Cricetulus griseus: one gene and its partners. The protein of the gene in region 5 purifies or fractionates together with the protein of the main gene of each other region. This does not show direct contact. Links are inferred from orthologs where the notes say so. Each region holds a gene or a part of one and is shown on either strand. Other genes may lie near its edges.

Evidence for each region. Proteins that work in one complex are often made in the same cells at the same time.
Region 1: the proteins of Ddx23 (region 5) and pre-mRNA-processing factor 6 purify together in Homo sapiens (affinity purification with mass spectrometry; 3 studies listed by BioGRID and IntAct, counting the BioPlex papers as one, with this or other methods). This does not show direct contact. The link is inferred for Cricetulus griseus from reciprocal best matches to the Homo sapiens genes DDX23 and PRPF6.
Region 2: the proteins of Ddx23 (region 5) and Tssc4 purify together in Homo sapiens (affinity purification with mass spectrometry; 3 studies listed by BioGRID and IntAct, with this or other methods). This does not show direct contact. The link is inferred for Cricetulus griseus from reciprocal best matches to the Homo sapiens genes DDX23 and TSSC4.
Region 3: the proteins of Ddx23 (region 5) and Sart1 purify together in Homo sapiens (affinity purification with mass spectrometry; 3 studies listed by BioGRID and IntAct, counting the BioPlex papers as one, with this or other methods). This does not show direct contact. The link is inferred for Cricetulus griseus from reciprocal best matches to the Homo sapiens genes DDX23 and SART1.
Region 4: the proteins of Ddx23 (region 5) and Snrnp40 purify together in Homo sapiens (affinity purification with mass spectrometry; 3 studies listed by BioGRID and IntAct, counting the BioPlex papers as one, with this or other methods). This does not show direct contact. The link is inferred for Cricetulus griseus from reciprocal best matches to the Homo sapiens genes DDX23 and SNRNP40.

Annotation. Positions count from the first base shown.
Region 1 is NC_048599.1:310,495-314,763, forward strand, and holds the start of pre-mRNA-processing factor 6, read right to left. Parts: upstream 2,801-4,269; 5' UTR 2,677-2,800; coding exon 2,606-2,676; intron 1-2,605. UniProt on the Homo sapiens protein: Involved in pre-mRNA splicing as component of the U4/U6-U5 tri-snRNP complex, one of the building blocks of the spliceosome.
Region 2 is NC_048596.1:58,316,386-58,320,083, forward strand, and holds Tssc4 (protein TSSC4), read right to left. Parts: upstream 2,275-3,698; 5' UTR 2,130-2,274; exon of another isoform or gene 2,001-2,129; intron 1,848-2,000; 5' UTR 1,723-1,847; intron 1,634-1,722; 5' UTR 1,624-1,633; coding exon 670-1,623; 3' UTR 501-669; downstream 1-500. UniProt on the Homo sapiens protein: Protein associated with the U5 snRNP, during its maturation and its post-splicing recycling and which is required for spliceosomal tri-snRNP complex assembly in the nucleus.
Region 3 is NC_048596.1:53,945,846-53,949,863, reverse strand, and holds the start of Sart1 (U4/U6.U5 tri-snRNP-associated protein 1), read right to left. Parts: upstream 2,801-4,018; 5' UTR 2,725-2,800; coding exon 2,412-2,724; intron 270-2,411; coding exon 212-269; intron 1-211. UniProt on the Homo sapiens protein: Plays a role in mRNA splicing as a component of the U4/U6-U5 tri-snRNP, one of the building blocks of the spliceosome. May also bind to DNA.
Region 4 is NC_048595.1:22,689,899-22,694,148, forward strand, and holds the start of Snrnp40 (U5 small nuclear ribonucleoprotein 40 kDa protein), read right to left. Parts: upstream 2,801-4,250; 5' UTR 2,746-2,800; coding exon 2,602-2,745; intron 1-2,601. UniProt on the Homo sapiens protein: Required for pre-mRNA splicing as component of the activated spliceosome. Component of the U5 small nuclear ribonucleoprotein (snRNP) complex and the U4/U6-U5 tri-snRNP complex, building blocks of the spliceosome.
Region 5 is NC_048595.1:395,146,137-395,150,090, forward strand, and holds the start of Ddx23 (probable ATP-dependent RNA helicase DDX23), read right to left. Parts: upstream 2,801-3,954; 5' UTR 2,648-2,800; intron 1-2,647. UniProt on the Homo sapiens protein: Involved in pre-mRNA splicing and its phosphorylated form (by SRPK2) is required for spliceosomal B complex formation.

The DNA.
Region 1 (4,269 bases), on a different chromosome or scaffold from region 5:
CAGGGAAAAATACTAATCCACTACCAGAGGCTCCCTGGCAGCTCCATTCTTTTTGCAGCAAATCCCACCATTCTGGATTCCTTTCTTTTCTGGCCTCACTGGGACTGAACTTTTTCTTTTATATGCAATTTTACTAAGTTAAAGTTAAAACCTTCCTTTTTGATTAGCCAGATAGGGAGATATACTATAGAATGCTTCTATACACTGTAAATATATATTGTTCCCATTGGTTAATAATAAAAGCTGACCACTAGCCTGGCAGAATAGGGTTAGGTAGAACAATCAAACAGAGGAGGGGCAGAGTCCAGGGAGACATGAGCCAGCTGCCCAAGAAACAACAGCAAACCAGTAAAAGCCAGGGCTACCTATTCTTTTTTTTTTTTTTTTTCCTTTTTTTTCTTTTTTTCGGTTTTTCAAGACAGGATTTCTCTGTGGCTTTGGAGGCTGTCCTGGAACTTGCTTTTGTAGACCAGGCTGGTCTCAAACTCACAGAGATCCACCTGCCTCTGCCTCCAGAGTCCTGGGATTAAAGGCATGGACCACCACCGCCCGGCTTAAATATTATCTCTCGTGGGTACTGGGAATCGAACCCAAGTCCTCTGGGAAGAGCAGCCAGTGCTCCTAAATATTGAGCCATCTCCAGCAGCTACCCATTCTATATGGAGAGATATCTTGCCCAGCCTAGGCACAGGGGTGTGGGGGTAGAGAGGTGCCTGCCTCAAGGAGATGAGACAGACTTAGTATACTTCCTAGGGGAGGCCTTACCCTCTCTGAGGAGCAGATGAGAGGTGGGGGGGGAGGGGTAGTAGGGTAGTGGGGTAGTGGGAAGAGAAAAGGAGGGGGAACTGGGGTTGGAATGTAAAAAATAAATTAATAAAAAATAAAGAAATAGCCGGGTGTTGGTGGTGCATGCCTTTAGTCCCAGCACTCGGGAGGCAGAGGCAGGTGGATCTCTGTGAGTTCGAGACCAGCCTGGTCTATAAGAGATAGTTCAAGGACAGGCTCCAAAGCCACAGAGAAACCCTATCTCGGAAAAACAAAAAACAAAACAGAAAGAAAGAAAGAAAGAAAGAAAGAAAGAAAGAAAGAAAGAAAGAAAGAAGACAGGGCTACATGGCAACACAGAGTAATAGAAACATGTTAATTTAAATGTAAGCGCTAGTTAGTAATAAGCCTGAACTATATATAGGTCAAATTATATCATTATACAACTATATAATTATAGTTGTAATTAATAAAACTTTCTGTGTGATTATTTGGAACTGTGCAGCCGGGACATGAAAGCTCCACCTCCGTTTACGAAACTCAAGTTCTCCACAAAAACAGTCAGTGCTCCTAACTGCTGAGCCATCTCTCTATTCCCATTGTCTTTTTTAAAGAGGTTGGGCAAGGTGCTGGAATCAAACCCAGGCCTGGGCATGGTACAGTTGGCTACACCTCCAGCTGCCTTTTAAAACTGCCTGTTTTTTTATTTATTTAGTGTGTGTGACCTGGTACATGTATAGAGGTCAGAAGACAATAATCTATTCTCCCCTTCTATCACGTGGATTCTGGGGATCAAACTCAGGCTTGACAGAGCCTTACCTACTGAGTCACCTCAACAGCCCACTACTTGCCTTTTTATGTGTCTACACCAAATTCCTCTTTTTGTTCGCTTTTTGAGACAGTTTCTGTCTTAAAACTTGATCTGTAGACCAAGTTGGCTTCTGGATCCCTAGTGCTGGAACTACCTGGCATAAATTCCACTTTTCTTTGCTTTTCCCAATCTGACACTTCAAATCCTCTTTGTAAATCTGACTAAAATGCTACACTCTTAAAACTTCTGTTCTCCTGTGTGTGCTTATATACACAAACACCAAACCTTGAATTCTAGTGAATTCAAGTCAATTCTAAATACTATTAACAGGAGAGACTTATGTCTCATCTAATGCATAAATAAGTAGGAAAAATACTATTCATTTACCCAACACCTTATGGTTGGCAGGCATAGGCCATTGCTGTCCAAAGGTGACCTATGGCCACACACCCTAGAGGGAAAAGATGCTTAAGGGAATAAAGGAGTAGCACACTCCTACTATACACATCAGACTCAACTGCTCCTTACAGCCGACTTGCTTGTGCATATTACTTCAGACACCAAAACAATGAGGCTCACACGCCTGCGTAATCCCTGAGGTCAGATTCACATCTCAGGGTGGCAGTCGGGCTTATTCTAACAAAAAAGGCCACCATGTCTGTCAAGCATTGTGTCAAATTACCTAGTGCCTCTCAGAATATATGGCGGTGAACGTTATTCTTGTTTTTGAGACAAGATTTCTTTAAGTAAACCTGGATGTCTTGGAATTCGCTACGCCGATCAGGCTTGTCTCCCCCCCAACCACCCCCACCGCGCCCCGCCTCAATGCTGGGATTAGAGACCTTCACCACCACACTCAGACCCTCAGGCACTTGTTTTTTGTTTTTTGTTTTGTTTTGTTGGTTTGTTTTGAGATGAGGTCTCTCTCTACTTAGTGGTCACAAGTATCATTCTCAACTAGGCCTGGAGCAAGTAGTGTTCCAGAGCACTAGCCACCCTTCCTGGTATAAGTTCCGCCCACTGCCTTACCCCCGGCCCAGCCCGGGTACATAGCCAAGCGGCGCGGGCATGCCCAGGAACGGCTTCTTCTTCTTGTTCATGGCGGTGTTTTTGGCCGAGGCAGAGAAAGATAGAGGAGCAGGTAGGCGGCCGAAGAATACTCGCGGTGTCGCAGCTGGAAGAGAGGCGGCTACTGCGTCGCCGGCGCCCCGGAAGTAGAGAGTGAGGTCGCGCAAAACTCCGCCCACACAGAGCCTCTGACGGAAGTCAAAGATGTGAGTTTGCAAAGCGTTTCCGGTCGGGGCTGCTGGGTGGGTTTGCTGTGGGAAGCTGAGCACGCGTGCGCGGAAGCCACTAACCATTAACGCAGCGGGCCGCGCAGGCAGATGTAAGGGTCATGCGTTCTGTTGCTGTGCCAGGGACGATGCACAGCCTGAGCCCAGTAGGCTTGTTGAGGAGCGTCCCGGTGCTGGCATGGCCTCGAATCTGCCTAGCCTTAGGAAGACGGATTCAGCCTACATGACCAAGACTTGCCTAGCTGTACTGTGTGGCCACCGCCCGTCGATACTGCGTGCACTCCGCAACTACTGCTCTGTGCGCTCAGCGTTCAGAACTGCGACACCCCCCCCTCCTGCTCCGTCCCACCCCCGTGGGCCTTCAGAGAATAAGTGCATGGGCCGGAGTTACATGCTTGGGAGTGATTGTGTGCCCAGGGGCTTTAGTGGACGCGCACCACAGTAACTCTACACAGATATTTTCTGCCTGTGTGCAGCTCTACGCAAGACAATGCCAATCCCACCTGTTGGGTAATAAATAGATTCAGGTCATGAGTCAGGCTGTACTGGGCAATAGCCCAAAGGTATAAAGGATTGCTTAGCCACAGGGATGATGGGCTCTACCTGCAGAAACAATATACTAGGGAAAACAACCCTGCCTCCGGTTAAATCACAAAAATAGCTGTACCTTCCCGGTAGCTATTAAGTATATATGTATGTGTGTGTCCAAATCCCTCTACATGTGCTCCCCTTTCATCCAGTGGAAAGATCAGGGCCCCTCTGTTTCAATAAAGCAGTCTCAACCTGGGGAGAGCATCAGACTCTAGGGCAGACAGGAAAAACTGCAAATTGCTATGCTGGACCAGGCAACCAGACTTCTACGTCCAGTGCTTTTCAGTGGAGTACTGAAGCAAACAACCATTCTTGGCTCCTCAAACAAGCTTTTAGGGAGGAACAGGATTGATTGAGTCTATGAACACTGAACCCTTAGGAACAGAGTCTGATTCAGGAGTTCAACAGAGAGGCATAGTACTGCCTGGAGTTCAAAGTGACCCGCAGGCAAATGTCAGCTAGCGTCTCTGGAAAATGGTCTGAGAAAAGAGAATGCTCCAGTAAAGAACGAGCAAGTGGGGATGAAGATATAGCTTGGTGATTAAAAGAAGTTTTCATATTTTTGCAGAGGACACGGGTTCACCCACATGACAGCTCACAGACCATAAACCCCAGGGCTGGGGGATCCGATTTCCGCACCAGGTACATGCGTGGTGCACAGACATATACATTCGGGCAAAACATTCATGAAATTTAAAAGGGGATGAATAAGTTAGGATACACGGGTATTTGGGAGAGATTGATCTAGCCTTTAGCTGGACAGCGTAAGTAAAAGGTCACAGGTGTGATTAGGGCCCCCACTACTAC
Region 2 (3,698 bases), on a different chromosome or scaffold from region 5:
ACGGCATGAAGTACTCACTCATGTGTCTTCCCTGCATCCTTCTCTTCCTCCTGGGCTAAGCTTCAGCTAAATGACCTAGCATCAGCCTATTAGCATCAGCAGTGTCCTACACAGAGGTCACAAATCCTGGAGACATACACCCAGGACACCAGCTCTATCTTTAGTTTGGGTGGACACCTGCCCAAACTCCTTCGCTGGCTCAAACTACCCTCTTCCTAAAACTGGTCTGCACAGGCCTAGTGTGGAGGCTGTGCTGGTTTCTGGGGGACAGATTATGTTCGTCCATTACCATCAGGGGTACAAGGCTGGACATGGTTATGAACCCAGTCCCTCTGGGTAGGTTCACTGGTAGCAAATGCAAGGGATCATGGCAAATCTTTACAGCAGTCCCCACTGGAGTGGGGAGAGCAAGATAAGCCAGGTGTAGGATGGAGTCCTGAAGTTAGTTGCCAAGGACTGTTTGGACACATCTTGAATAGGGAGCAGAAAAATCCACAAAATTTAAGAAATATCCCAAACCTTTATTTTTCACCCCAAGAAACGGGGGCATAAGGTCCCACAATTCCCACAGTCCTAGTCAGAGTTGCTTCCCAGACACCCCTTCTACAAATAGCCCACAGCTTCCCACCTGGACTGGGCAGGTGAGGAGGTGGAGAGATAGCACTGCAGTCAAACTGAGGGTCCCCTCTCAGACCCTGGCCCCTCCGGGTTACTGTCCCTGTTCCGGAAGTGTTCTCTGCTCCGCTTCTTGCTGCCATGGAAACCAACAGCCTCCATCCCTGTGGGATCTGATGAGGACCCAGGATGGTCAGCTCCTGAAGGTATCACTGCCTCTTGCAGTCCCTGGTGGCCACTCCACTCCTCAAGCTCAGGCCCTGCCAGATGGGCCAGCTCCACAGATGCCTCACTCACAGCATTTGACACATCCCCCTTCTTTAGGACCCTCTTCCTTTCAGCCCTAGTCTCACTGCCTCGAATTGGTTTGGTAAAGACCACTCTCCCCTCCCCACAGCTAGAGGGGTCCTGGTTGAAGGAAGGTACATAGTCTGTGGGGGATGCCAGGCTGCGAGAACCCAGAAAGGCCAGGGCAGCAGCACGATTGCTCTGCTCACTGACTTCAGTCGCATCTTCCAGGCTGTACTTGGTCCAACGCTCAGGATGTGACACATAATCGGGCACAGGAGGTACCCTGGTTGGGCCCGTACTCCCATGCACCCTGCTCAGGTTCCCTGCTGGAGTCTGACTTGGGGGAGCCACAGGTCGCTTGAAGTTGCCATTTTCAGTCACACTGGTTTGGGGCGCAGAGGGCGGTGCCTGCCGGACTGCACTCTCCAGACAATCAAAGATGCTGTGACTGCGCTGGGAGAAGGTGGAGCTCATGCCGCGGAGGTGGAACGGCTGAACTGCGGTGGTGGGGACGCCCGTGGGGGGCGAGGGAGGCTCATCAGGGCCGGAGTCTTCTTGGGCTTCCCCAGAAATCCTCTCCGGGGACAACACTTGCACCTCAGCACCACTAGGTAAGCTGAGGTCCGAGTCCGAGTCGCTGAGGGAGACGGTGTCAGAAGGCAGGGTGTCATCTTCGGTGGGTTCCTCGGCCTCCAAGCCAGTCTCCGCCTCCGCCATGGAACCCGACCTGTAGCGAAGCAGCCCAGGTTCTGCTGTGAGGGGTGTACTTGGGCAGCTCCCCCCCACCCCCGTTCTCCCAGGCTCCCCCACTTTCACCTCCACTATGTGCCAGGCGCCTCTGCTCGCAATCGGGCGCTGGCTGGTCACGCAGGCGGGCGGAGGCCTCGCGAAGCTGGGTGGCGAATAGTGTGTCCTCGCACGCACTGATGTGGAGCTGCAGTCTAGATAGGGTTAAGCAGAGAGTCAAACCATGAGATCAGAACAGTGCGGACATATAAAGGGTGCGCGCTAGGAGACGCTGGAGACAGAGGCTCTCGACCATCAGCTCGTCTCATCACCGGCTCTCACAGAGCGCAGCCTCTCCGGGTACACACCGCCACCGGAGGCACCACCCGGCTCCGGAGGGAGAGCTGGCAGGGGACTGGCCTGGTCGCACGGTCCTAAGGAGGCCAGCGCTCACCGCTCCACCGTCCCTTCACGCTACAACAGCCAGCTGCCTTTACCGTAGCGTCCCGCCGGTTTCTCGAGGTACGGGCCGTGGCCCCCGCCTACTCTCGCTCGGCTTTCTGGGAAACCGAGTCTCCGGCTGTCTGAATGCTGCAACTTTAGCGGCCAAGGAACTACAACTCCCAGAAGGCAATGGGCCAATGCGTAATGCCTGCCGGGAGGTGTAACCTTTACGTATACGTCATCCCGTAAGACTGGAGCGGACACGGAAATCTACCCGGAAATGACGAAAGAGGAAGAGGCGGAGCCAAGAGCCTCGATTCCCATTGTACATAGGGCCAACTGCTAATCGCAAAGGGTTGAGGCCTCCAGCGCCGCCTGTCGGAAGCCGTCTGAGCAGGGTTCGTCACTGGAAGGAAGTGCGTCACCACGCAGTGCGGGCGTCAACAAGTTTCCTGGTCAGAAGTGGTGCTGATCTGATCTTGTACTCGGTTGGCTTCCTAAAGGGGGCGGGGACTTAAGTCCTAGTTGGCTCTTGGCATCTAGAGACGTGGTGGGCTCTGGATGTTGGATAAGTTGTTTGGGGCTGCAGAGATTCGAGGCCTCTCCTCTAGGCTCTGCCTAGCCGTGCTTGGACACCGACCCCACTATTTAAGGCCACACACAACTCCCCTCTAGGCCCGGGGCTGTCCTCTTTCATCTCTGGGAACCAGAGTCTGAGAATCCACTGGGCTGCTGCACGCTCACTTCCTTCCCTATGTTCTTGAAGCCCTGATAGCCATGCTGCAGTTTTCTCAACAGCCTTGGCCAGGGGCCCACAACATAAGAGTATAAAGTCCTTCAGACCAGCAGCCAACCCAAGCAGGGAACAGGTTGCAAGGGGCGGGAGGGGGGCGGCGGACGGACGATAGTAGAGATTAGGACGCCCTAGGACAAACTTGGGGTTCACTGACAAATCAGCTTACAGGGAGGTTGCTAGGAGCTGAGACCTAAATCTTAGCCACGCTTTCTCTCCTCTAGAGGCCAATTAAATATGCCAGTAGCCTGGGGGAGGGGTGCAGACAGGAGTCAAAGGGAAAGGCAGTAGTGGTGATAGTTGCTGGTGTCCCAAGAGGTTGCTTAGCCTAATCCTCAGTTCATAGGGCTGAGCTGAGTGGGCTGCCATCTTGACTATTATCCCTTGAGACAGGCCAGAGCCACCCAGCTCTTTAGAACATTTCTAAGCACCTAGATACTTGGGATGGGGCAGTAGTCTAACTTTTACTGTATTGTCTTTCAAAAGTGGGATGAAGTGGGAGTTTTTTGTAGCTTATCCCCAGCATTCTGTGTCGAATTTTCCTGCTGCGTGACCTCTCCTACCCGTCTCAGTGTGACTTGGCATGTCCAACAGATGAGTGGAAATGAGGTCAAGGCTGGAATAAGGTCAGCCTGAACTCCCAGTACAGGGAGGTAGAAACGAGGGAGTACTCAGATGGAGTGCTCCCAGGGTCCCTATCCTTCCCACCCATTTTATTCCACAGCCTCTCTTGGACCTGCTCACCCTGTGCCTGGCAAAGTCCAGAGCGGTACCCGTCTCTGACACCACTGGAACAGGAAGAGGTCTGACAGTCCGGTTAGCATGCCTG
Region 3 (4,018 bases), on a different chromosome or scaffold from region 5:
CAGGCTTCCAGAACAGGCTTCCTGACTGGGGAAGACTATCCTTCCTCTTGGGTCTCAGTTTCTTCCACGTAGCTCCTATGGTTGGCAGTATGACTCATCTGGCCATTCCAATTCTAACTGGCTTCATTTAGATTGAAAAAGTTTCTATAGGTAACAGCCCCAGGTGCAACCAGTCTCAGAGGAAAATCAAAACAGCATAAGGGCTACTCACTTGGTCTCCTCGATGCTAAGTGACGAGGCATCTCCAGAGCTAGTTTTGGAGCTGGCAGCTAGAACAATAAGGAGCACGGCTTAAGGAACCCATGAACATGGGACCAAGAAGCAACATCATGGTCTTCAGTTGCAAGGTCGAAGACAAGGGCCCCCACCAGCACCTGGGTAGATGACACCAGAAAACAGCAGCCTTCTTCCCCCAGGGTTCCCTGCAGCTGCTACCCAGGCCCTTATCTTTTTTCTGCATCCCTCACTGTGCCACTCCAAATCTCCACACTCTACCTTCAGCCTCCACAGTCCCTTCTGCTCTTGTTCTCATAAAGTTCTATCAAAAGAGCAAGTATCATCTCCTCCATGAAGCCCTGCTCAATTACTGACCAGAATTAAAACTCTGCCTAGAACGGCACAGCACTGCTTGTCATTTCTGGCACTTTCTGCCCACAGCAGTGTATGGAATACTTACTAGTGTGTGTTCCATGCCAGATGCTATGGACATAGGAAAGGAAGCACTCTGGACCTGATCTATCCACCCCACAAACAGGAGAGAACTTCAATAAACACTATACAGAGGAAGATGCCACCAGGATGCCCAAGTCCCCTGTCACACACTACTCACTGCTCTTTAAACCCTTCCTCCTCCACCTAGGCTCTGGACCCCATTTTCTATATGAACTCTCAAGTCTCAAGTCTCCCTTTTTCCAATTAGCAGATTATTAAAAAAAAAAAAAAAGTTTCAATTTAGGGGCTGGGGAGATGTCTCAGTGGATAAGAGCACTTGCTGTTCTTACAGAGGACCCAGGTTTGGTTCCCATAATCTATATGGCATCTCACAACCACCTAACTCATTTTCAGGGGATCCAATGTCCTCCTCTGAACCTCCACAGGCACTAGGAATGCACCAAGTGCATATTCACATATGGAGGTAAAACACTCAAATGCATAAAATGAAAACAACCCTTTGTTTACAAGTTCTGGTTCTGCATAATGCCCTGTGGTGTGTGATGCTCTTAACCACTCTGTCTTTTCAACAATCATCTCTTTGTACAGATCCTATGACCCAACTGTAGTGTTCTTGCCATTTGGCTACTCTTTATTTTTTAAGTATGTTTCTCTGCCCACAATTGAGCTATTGGCATTTACTAAGTTCTATTTCTGATCCTAGTTCTCACTCCACACACTCTAGGGCACTTTGGATTCCTGAATACACACTAGCCTCAAATCACTCTATCCCACTTAAACTGTAGGTTTTCCCATACACACTGACCAAAGCTCTCCCAAACTGGGTCATTCTCCCTTGCCTCAAATCTGCTAGTCTTCTAAACACCAACTTCAACAGATGAAAACCATTCACCAGGCGGGTAAGGTCAAAACTCCAGGAGGCATTCCCTGTTCCTCATCCCTCCCATCCCCTTAGCCCACGCACTAAATTTTGTTCATTGCACTTCCTAAACACCTATTCAATCTTTCCAGTCTCTCCACCCTACTGCATGGAGAAACATGCATACTCACTGTTAGTCCTCACCTGGTTGGGTTGACCTCCCTCCTAATCTCAGGGTCTGTAGTCCTATTTTTGACAAGCTCTCAACCCAGAGATCCTTTTTTTTTTTTTTTTTTTTTTTTGTTTTTCGAGACAGGGTTTCTCTGTGTAGCTTTGGAGCCTATCCTGGCAGTCACTCTGGAGACCAGGCTGGCCTCGAACTCACAGAGATCTGCCTGCCTCTGCCTCCCGAGTGCTGGCATTAAAGGCGTGCGCCACCAATGCCCAGCTCAATCCAGTGTGATCTTAACATATGAAGTAAATCAACCCACTTCCCTACTCAAATCCTCGACTCCCTACCGTCTTCATCACAAAGCCCAAATTTCTCAACAGAGCTTACAGCACAGGGTCCTTGGTGTTCAGACCCAAGCGTATCTTACTGCTTCATGACGATTCCACCTACTGTCAGGTTTCTCTTGCCTCTGTCTGTGCATGCTCGCACCTCCTCCTTTCGCCCACCCACCGCATTTACTGTCAAGTGCCAGACGGGAAGGGGAAACGCAAGACCCCGGTCCTTCCGAAGCTTAACATGGGGAGTCAGTCTTTAGTCCCCAACAGCCGGAGCAAGTCTTCAGCCCGAGAGGCACAGGCCCTGGCGGTCACCCTGCACCCTCCGTCCCGCGCACCCCAGGCCCCTGCCCCGCCCCCGCCCCGCCCTCACCGGCCTCGTAGCCGTCATCGCGTTTCTCTCGCTTCACGCGCCGCTCCGAGGGCTCCGCTTGACTTCGTTCGCGACCGTGCGCGCCGCCGCGGGCCTCGGCTTCGGCCCCGCGCCTCCCGCTCCCGCGCTCGCCCCCACGCTCGCGGCTCCGCTTCCGTCGTTCGCCGCCGCTGCTGCCGCCGCCGCTGCTGCGATGTTTGTGTTTCTTGTGCTCTCGATGCCGCGGCGGCTGCTCGGTGGCGCCCCCGGTACCGGCCGCCGCCGTCGTCCCCGCCGCCTCCTTCTCCCCGCGGTGCTTCTTTGACGACCCCATGACTAGTGCGTCCGTCTGGAGCCGGGCCGCCACCCGAGCCCAGACGACGCAAAATGGGAATACTTCCGGGTCGTGCGGCCGCCGCTGCGCTGTTGCCGGAAACTAAGAGCGGCTGCTTCCGGGGCCGGCCTGGGAACCTCCAGAGGCTCATGGGAGGGACGGGTTGAGACTGCGCATTCCCGGCTCCCGGGGACTGGCTCTGCGCATGTGCACCTGTAGAGGCTACGGGGTCGGCATTGGCTCTCCCGGGTTAGAACTGTAACAGCTTTGGAATCGTGCTAAAAGCCACCGTCTGCGGAGCTGGGAGCTCTTTCCCTGACCTTTCCACTCCGAGAGCCTCGTGGCGCTCTGTGCCTCAAGCCTCTTCGTGGGCGTCCCCTCCTCCAGTGATTGTCCTTCTCGTAGGCTCCCCGGGGCCGGGGATCCGTCCGGGGTTGGAAGATACCGCATGTTTTCTTCTTGAAGAAACCAGCTGCAAAGCCCCAGACTTGCAACCCCAATAAACCACTGTTGCCAGCGAATGCTACCGTCGCCCACTTTCCCTGGATTGGTAGATTGGGTCTTTTTAACCTGAGCTCTGGACTGCTACGGAACACTATGAATTTGTGCCTGTGAACCCCGTGAAATTGAGTGCTGTTTTTGTTTCTAATTTTCTTTTTAAGATAGGGTCTATATAGGTCTGGTTGGCCTAGTGCTTGTTACGTAGCCCTGGCAGGTCTCGAACCCTCTGGTTCAGCCTCCCGTGTGCTGCGAGTGGCCGGGATTTCAGGCATGCTCGCCCAAGCCAGGCTCAAGTGCAAATTGGGCAGATCCGTTTTTCTTTTGCCTGCCTGCCTTCCTTCCTCCCTTCCTTCTTCCCTCCCTCCCTCCCCCCCCCTCTCTCTTTCCTTCCTCTGTCCCGTTAACTATGTGGCCTCAGTCCGGGATTACAGGCACAAGCCACAATGCCTTGCTTTCCCAGCCTTTTCTCTCTTCCTGGGCTTTTTTATTTGGTTGATTGCTTGTTTGGTTTGGTTGTTTTGTTTTGGTCTTGAGGAGATGAGCTTTAAAGTTAAGGATTCACACACTCCCTTCTGCTACTAGTTGCTCCTCTGTGGGTTTCCTGTGTAGCACACCTCGGCGTGTTTTGGTATGGTTTTCCTGCTCCTTTACGGCTCTGCTCTACTACTGAGTCTTCAGAGGTGGACCTGTTCACTAGCATTTCTAGGTGTCCCACTCAGTAGCAGAGACAGCATGTGTTTGCCGAGGAAGGGGTGCAGCCAGGGTTCCCAGAATATGTGGGAAGTAGCTAAGT
Region 4 (4,250 bases), about 370 Mb from region 5:
ATGGCACCTCTGCTCACAGAACTCCTGCCTTTCACTGGATAAACCTTTGGACATTCCAGCATATGCTCACCATACCACTCTCCTCCCCAACTCTGCTTTTGTTCCACAGCCAACTTCTGACTGCTTAATCATGCTGACTTCACTTATACCTCAGGATCTTAACAAGGAAAAATGTCTCCCACAGAGCTCTCCTGCTATTGGGCTCCTTTTAAATATTTCCTCCCCAGAGTCTTTCTTTAACAGTCAAACTTAAGTAGCAGCCATCTCCCCACCAGTATTCCATTAGGTTTAGTGCTGCCTCAAGTTTCCTTCCTCATGTCATTGCTGACATGCTTCTTTTTCCCCAAATAAATGAAGCTCTGGGAGTGCAGGAACAACATTTCTCAGACTAGTTCACCCACCTAGCCTTTGAAAAACCCTGCATAGTACAACTTACTATGCAAAATAGATTTTAGGGGTATGAGCAGCGCTTTGATAAGTAGCTCAGGCTGGTCTTAAATTTTCAGTCCTCCTGAGTGCTGGTAATAATACAAGTGTGAATTGCTATGCTTGGTTTGGCAAAGCAGTTTCTGATTAGGGTCTTGGACGCTAAGCCTGTTTGGCAAGTCTTCCAACCCTGGGCTGACAGTGTTACTTGGCAAATAAGTGTACTACCAAAAATAGTCCTGAAATCTCTTTGGTAGGTTCCAGTGTACTAACTTATATTTATTATCATGTATTAACTATGAAAAGTAATGTAAATAATGTACCATGAGCATATTTATCTAGTGTAATTATTGAAAATAACACATGTGTACCACAGAGATGGCCCAGTAGTTAGAGAGCACTTACTGCTCTTCCAGAGGTCCCGAATTCAGTTCCCAGTACCACACTAGGCAGCTTTCAAGTGCCTGTAGCCCTAGGTTCAGAGGATTCAACAATCTCTTCTGGCCTATGAGGGTACTCACACATACATACAGACATACGGATAAAAATAAACCTAATATATCTAGGCACTGGGGAAACAGCACTCAATAAAACAATGAACTGTGCATTCTGGTGGAAAGTGAGTGAGAGAATGGGAAAGGAAACAAAACAAAAAACAAGCAGAACACCTAGTGTTGCATGCAATGGAAAAAAATATGAGTACCAGAGTACAGGGTACTTTAACTTAAAATACAGTGGCCAGGAGAGCCCACTGAAAACAGGCATCTGAACCAAGATTTGAAAGAACCAGTAGTTAAACATGTGGGCATTTGGAGTAATATTCCAGCATATGCAACAACAGCAACAGAATTAACAGCACACAGGCTGGTGTTATTTGAGAAGGATGACATGCTAGAAAACGGGTACATGAGCATAGAAAAGGGGTTATTACACAGAATTTGATTTTTCTTTAATTTGGAATGAAATAGCCAACACAATATTTTCAGCAGAGAATCATGTGATTTAATGTTGTGGTGATTCTCCTGGCTACCAGACTAATAATTGATCCTTGATTCAAAGGCAAAACCAGAAATACTAATTAAGCCCCACCTGCAATGATGCCAGATGACATAAAAGTTTGACTAGGAGGTAAGGATTTCAGGTAAACAGTTCTCTTCCGTTCAACAAAAGAGTTTTGCTATAATAGCCTACACTGGCTTGGAACCCTTGACCCTCCTGTTCAGCAGCTTGAGTGTAAATTTGTGTGTGTCCAGCTTTTTATTTACTTATTTTTGAGTCAGCGACCTTGCTGTGTTAAAAAGTAAGTTAGTACACCGGAATCTACCAAAGACATTTCAGGATTACTGGTGGTACACTTATTCTTACTTGACAAGTAGGATTGTCAACCCAGAGTTGCAGGCTTGGCCTCCAACTCCTTCCCTCAAAATTTTCTTGTCAGCCTTCTGAAAAGATGCAACTACAGCCCTACACCCCTTGCCAATTTTATTTACTTATTTTAATGACCACACCAGCAGAATTGAGAGTTGGGACAGGAGGCACATTTATTTCCGTATCTGAAACTAATATCATAGTAGTGAGGGCATGATCACTATTTTACAAGAAATGCCATTAGGAGCTTAGCTTCTAACTCAAAGAAGTTTGCTTTCCCTATATGCAAAATAACAGCTCCTTTCGGGCTGTTACCAAGATTAATGGAAATTTCTCATGCAAAACAGCTAACACTCGAGCCAACGGATATTAATTACTGTTAATAATGCAAAATCAGAAAAAGAGAAAAGTAAATTGTACCAGATGGCAGAGAGAGCCTGTATCATTCATTTCCCTTGCTTCCCTTCCCATTCATTCATTCATTCATTCATTCATTCGTCCACTCTACAAACTTTTCTGAATGTTTATTTTATGCTGAATCCCTGAAGATTTAGGATGCGGAACTTTGGATCCTGATTTTTGAGGCCAAGGTTTTAAATGATTCACTGCTACTTCACAGGGCGATTCAAAGGCTGGAAACAGGCGTCCGACAGGGACACATGTATGAAACAGACGCAGAACACACGGCACGTATGTAAACAGAGGCCTGCTTTCACTTCAGCTTCTCTGTCTTTCCGTTCCCGCAGCGCCGGGAAGGTCTATTGGGAGAGGAGCGGAGGGCCGAAGAAGGGATGCCTCCCCACTTACCGCCTGCAGCAAAGCTCCCGGAGTCGCCTGCGGCTGTCCGGCTCCGGGGCCGGCCCCCGCGGCTCCCAACAGCAACTCATGTCGCGGCCGCTTGACAGGAACCAGTGGCAGCTCCGGGCCCTTGCGTTTTGGCTGCTCGATCATGGCGGTAGCCACTCTCTTCGGCGCCGCCACTGACCGCGCCGCCGGCCGCAGCCGCCGCGCAATTGGCTCCAACTGAGTTCTTCCTCCAGAACTTCCGGAGAGGAGCAACCAATCGGCTCCCAACATTCTCTTCTGCAACGCCCTCTGAATGCGCTCTTGCGATTGGTCCGTTCTTGATGACGCCACGAGGGCTCAGCTCTGGGATTGGGGCGTGTAGTGACGTCCCCCCTAGGCGCGCTGTGCATTGTGGGTTGGGAACGAGCGGAGCAGGTTAGGCGTTCTTGGCGATGAAGAGGCTGCCAGGCTAGGAGCTGGCGCGGAGTAAGTGTGCGGGGAACGAGGACGGTAGCTGTTCTAATCTGCGACTAGGTGATGGGCCCGAGCCTAGCATTCTCGGCTGACGGTCCTGCCGTGGGGGTAGGGGAGCGTTCTGGAAAGAGTAGTCCCTTGGCAGGCTAGAGCGGAGCTTTGGGATCTCTGACCGCAGGACTGGAACCCTAAGGCCGCTGTCCCTTGACAGCTAGCTGCTCTGCACAACGCCGCTTTTGCTTCCAGCGCTGTACTAGCGTGATGCCCGACTCCCGGCCTCCCGGCTTCAGTGCCGGGTTTGGCTGAGGAGGCGGACTTAGTTTATACCATTGGTTCAACCGTCTTTTTTTAAGGGCTTAATTTATGCCCCCAGACAGACAGTGATGGAGGAAGTATCCGATGGTTCCTCCAAAGCATAATTTTGTTGAGAAATCTAAGGTCCATGCTTGTGTACCAGGCCTTCTCATAAGCGATCCAAGTGGCGTTTATCGTGCAGAGCGTTGGAGGACACTGAAGAAACATGTTCTCTAACTTCAGGGCTTTAGTGTCTCTTGGGGTGTGTGTGGGAAACATTTTAAACTAATCTCACCAGTTGATTGGAAGACTAGCGAAGAGAGCGATGCCTCATGCTGTGAGTAACTAATGAGCTTGAAGGATTTTCAGAGGAAAAGATGCCTGAGCTGTTGCCGTTTGATCGGACAGTTCTAATTCGGGGAAGAGAGGAAGAAGGCAGAACGTTCTTCACAGAACAGCGTGTGCAGTAGTGCCCTATCATTTGGGAAGATGACTAAGAGGCACGAAGAGCCAGTATGCTGAGAGAGCACTTGAAGGGGGTTATGGTACGAGATAACCTGGGGGTCATGAAGATTTGCAGGAATTTGTAGCTTTAACTTTACAATTAATAGGAAACCAATGAAAATTTTGTCTCCCCTCCAGGGCGTGGGATGTGGAGGAGGAGAAGGCTTGCTCCTTCAGGCTTAATGGTGTTATGAGATTGGAGAGAGGAGGGGAGGTTTATTGGAGGCAAATGGACCACTTTGGGAGCATGCACTGTAGTTCTGATCAGCAATGTCAGTGAGAACCTAGCTGAAGGTGGAGCTGAAGACAGTTTTACAGTATCTTGGGGATAGCTGGGAAGTAAATTAGATAGGATTTGGTAATGGACTGGATGAATGAGAGGATTACGGTCATTTTGA
Region 5 (3,954 bases):
AGATTTTTAAAATTACCATTCCCCAAATAATGCAAAACAACAATTTACAAAGCCATTTGTCATTTATAATTAATCTAGAAAATCTTTTAAAGTATGCAGGGGGATTATGTAGTGTATATGCAAATATTGTGACATTTTATGGAAGATACGTGAGCATATGCTGACTTTGTTATTCACCTAGGGTCCTAGAACCAATTCTCCTCAGATAATCACAAGGGGCAACTATATCTAAGCAGGAGATGACAGTGGCTTGTTCTAGGGATGCAAAAAGAGACAGGCATACTTTGGCAGTAGAGCTAACAAGACTTACTGATAAAGGGAAAAACTACAGAGGAGACACAAAGACAGCTCCTGGGGCTGGGGAGATAGCTCAGCAGGTAGGAGTGTTTTCTGTACATGCTAAATTCCCAGTGCCCATGTTAAAGCTAGACATGGTTAAATATACCTGTAACTCCAGGGCTATAAGGAAGGTGGAAGCAGGAGGCCATCCCAAGTTCAAGGGGAGACCTGTCCCGGGGGAATGAGATGATGGAGCAGGACACCCAGTGTCCTCCTCTGTCCCTCCCACAACACATATACTATGTATTCACCACTCATACACACACATACACAATTTACAAAAACAAAACTTCTTTTGCATTCTCTATTTGATGATAAAATAAACATGTTACTGTCAAAGTTTGGGGAAGGGATGAGATAGCGGAAAACAGTTCCTAAATGTACATACAGTTTGAGGAAACTACTGGTTTTTGTTACCATCAGTGAAGCAACCAGAGAAGACTAGGGAAGGAACAGAACAAAAGTGCCATTTTTGCCAGCTTGTGGGATATTAAGAAAGCAACCAAAGAGAAATCTGGAACTCTAAAGAGACACGGGAAGACAAAAATATGAGTACAGAGACAGCTGTTAAGTCATTGTGTCTTAAACATCACCTAAGCAGGCAGAAGAGGAGATCCACAGTGCAGCTCTAGCACACTAACACTGAAGGGTGCCTAGAAGAGACAAAAGAAAAGACTAGAAAAAAACAGCAGCAGGGATGGGGGTAGGGGTGTAAACTATAACAATGCAGAAGCAAAACACATTTCAAAGAGAGAATAGTCAACACAGAACCATTGAAGATTTGGGAGGGGAGGAGATGACTAGTGGCCTTCACAAAAGCTGTTTGAATGGCAGGAAAGGGGAAGAATACAAACTTGGATGGAGTGGGTCTGGAAGAGAACTGAAACTGACAATAAAAGCAAAATAAACTGTTAGGGTCCAGGGCAAAAGCACCTGAATTTCAACTTAATCTCACTGAGAACATTAAAAGAGCTTTTTTCCCCCCCCCCCATTAAAAGAGCTCTAAGTGCCGGGTGTTGGTGGCGCTCGCCTTTAATCCCAGCACTCGGGAGGCAGAGGCAGAGGCAGGCAGATCTCTGTGAGTTCGAGGCCAGCCTAGTCTTCAGAGCGAGTGCCAGGATAGGCTCCAAAGCTACACAGAGAAACCCTGTCCCGAGAGAGAAAAAAAAAAATTCCTGTGGTGACTTACAAGAAAGTGTGTGTGTGTGTGTGTGTGTGTGTGTGTGTGTGTGTGTGTGTGTGTGTGTGTGTGGTTTTTCCAGACAGGGTTTCTCTGTGCAGCGCTGGCTGTCCTGGAACTCATTCTATAGACCAGACTGGCCTCAGAGAGATCCACCTGCCTCTACCTCCCTGCTGGAATTAAACGTGTGCACCATCACCACCTGCCTGAAAACATTGCTTTTATTCTCTGTCTATTGATATCTAACTACAATATATATATATACATATATATGTATATAAATATATAAACTAGGAGAAATGCTAAGTAGTCTACGACTGAAATCTTAGCATTAGGAAGGTGAAGGTAGGACTAAGTTCAAAGTCAGGACAGACTAAGCTGCATACTGAGTTCAAGGCCAGCTTGACCTACAAGAGACCCTGTCTGCAAAACCAAAAATGCAAATATAGGCAATGATTATAGAAGACCCTGGCTGTGCTTCCCAGTTCTGCTGTAGGGCAAAGGCGAATTATTTTCATTTAACTGTTGCTACTATATGTAAGACTCGGTCCTAGGCCCTGTGGTAGTTACAAAATGAAATTCTGCCCACAGGAAGCAGAAGGCATGAGACACGCCAAGGTAAAGACTAATCAGATAAGTATTGCGAGAATCCAAAGTAGCAGTTTCTTTCCATTCGTAAGAGAGGATATGGAAGGATCCACGGAAGAAGTGTATCCTGAGCATTTGAAGATGAGGGTGAGGGTTAGAACTAATTTCCGGCAAAAGCAGTAATACTGGCGACGCCGTAGCGGGAAAGCACAGACTGGTTTCTGGAAGTACATCAGAGGTCCAGTCTGGTTGAAGTAAAGGATCAGGAATAAAGTCAGACTGAGGTATAGCAAGCGCGATGTCCATGGGCCAAAATCTTGGCTCATAACATCGTCCTGGAGGTGGCCTGTGCCCCAGACAGCCAACACTGCTCCTGGGGCCCGCGCCCCTTCGCTCCTGACCGCCAGAGCTTCCCGGGCTCGTGCCCCTTCCCTGAGGCGTTCTTCCCCGTCTGGACCAAGAAGCGGAAGCCAGGGCTATCTCCCCGCTCTCGCCCACTTTCCAAACTCATAGGAATCACCTCCGCCGCCCAACACTCACCACCCCGCGTCTGAACCGCCTAACGCGGCCTCAACGTCGCCGAGCAGTCGCCATCTTTCGCGTTTCCTGATCGCGGAGGAGCACCCTGGCCGCGCGGGTAGCCGGGAAGGCGAGTTCCTGGGCCCGCACCGCGCGAGCTGACGAACGGGCTCCAAAAACTACCAATCCCAGAATGCACGCGAGAGGGCCCCGAGCCACAAGGTCTTCTGGGTAGTGTGGTCCGCGAAGGTTCGGTTTCTGTGGGAGAAAGAATTTTCCAAGTGTTGTCTTCCCAGCCTGCAAGGTTCTCTTGTGGCTCAGGCTCTCTGGAATCTTCTAGTAGACACTGGAGTTAATCGCAGTCATAGCTGGCAGCGAGGGAATTTTTGCGGCAACAAGTAATTTACTGTTTTTTAAAAAATGTTTTTATAAAAATCGCGAGAGAGATTATTGCCTCCCTTTTACAGCTGGATGAACTAAAAGTTAGTTAACTGGAGCAGCCTATGAAGGTAGTACAGTTTTCATGGTAGAACTACCCCAATCGTAGGAAGGTATTTTAACAATCTTGAGCCCCAGCCCCAGTAGGGTGAATTCCTTAATGCTCCAAGCCCCCCCCCCCAATAAATAATAAACCGACATTCCAAAGACTTCCCAGGAAGGACTTTCTCCTAAACTCTTACTGCTGACTCAACATCCCAGATGGGACCCACGAAAATTATTTTCTTCAGGATCATTTGGGCTGTTTGGGCCACTTGTTATTGTTGGTTTCTTCCTTCAGGTTCTCCCTCCATCGGTCCACTGAATTTTTCTTCTAATCACATACCCACTTTCTTCCTTTTTGGTTCAAACTGCACCATCAGCACCCGCCAAAACAAAATGAAAGTTGTACCTGCTAAGATGGCTGAGAGAAACTGGGGTACCCAGCACTTCCTTAAACAACATTTCCCCATCAACTTTGCTTTAATCCCACAGAGTTGTTGGCCTGGTTTGCCTTTTTATTTGTTTATTTTATTTTTATTTAATGTGCATTGGTGTTTTGCCTGCATGAATGTCTGTGTGAGGGTGTCAGATCCCCTGGAACTGGAGTTACAAACAGTTGTAAGCTGCCATGTGGGTGCAGGGAATTGAACCTGGATCCTCTGGAAGAGAACCCAGTGGTCCTATGGCTGAGTCATTTATTTCTCCAGCCTCCAGTCTCTTTTTTTTTTTTTCACTCTATATATTCTTTCTGTTCTCAAACAGGGTCTCTGAATATATCCCAATCCAAAATCTCAGCTTCACAGACAGTGCTCTGTGTAGTTTAGGAGACTTTAGGAGAGCTCTAGTAA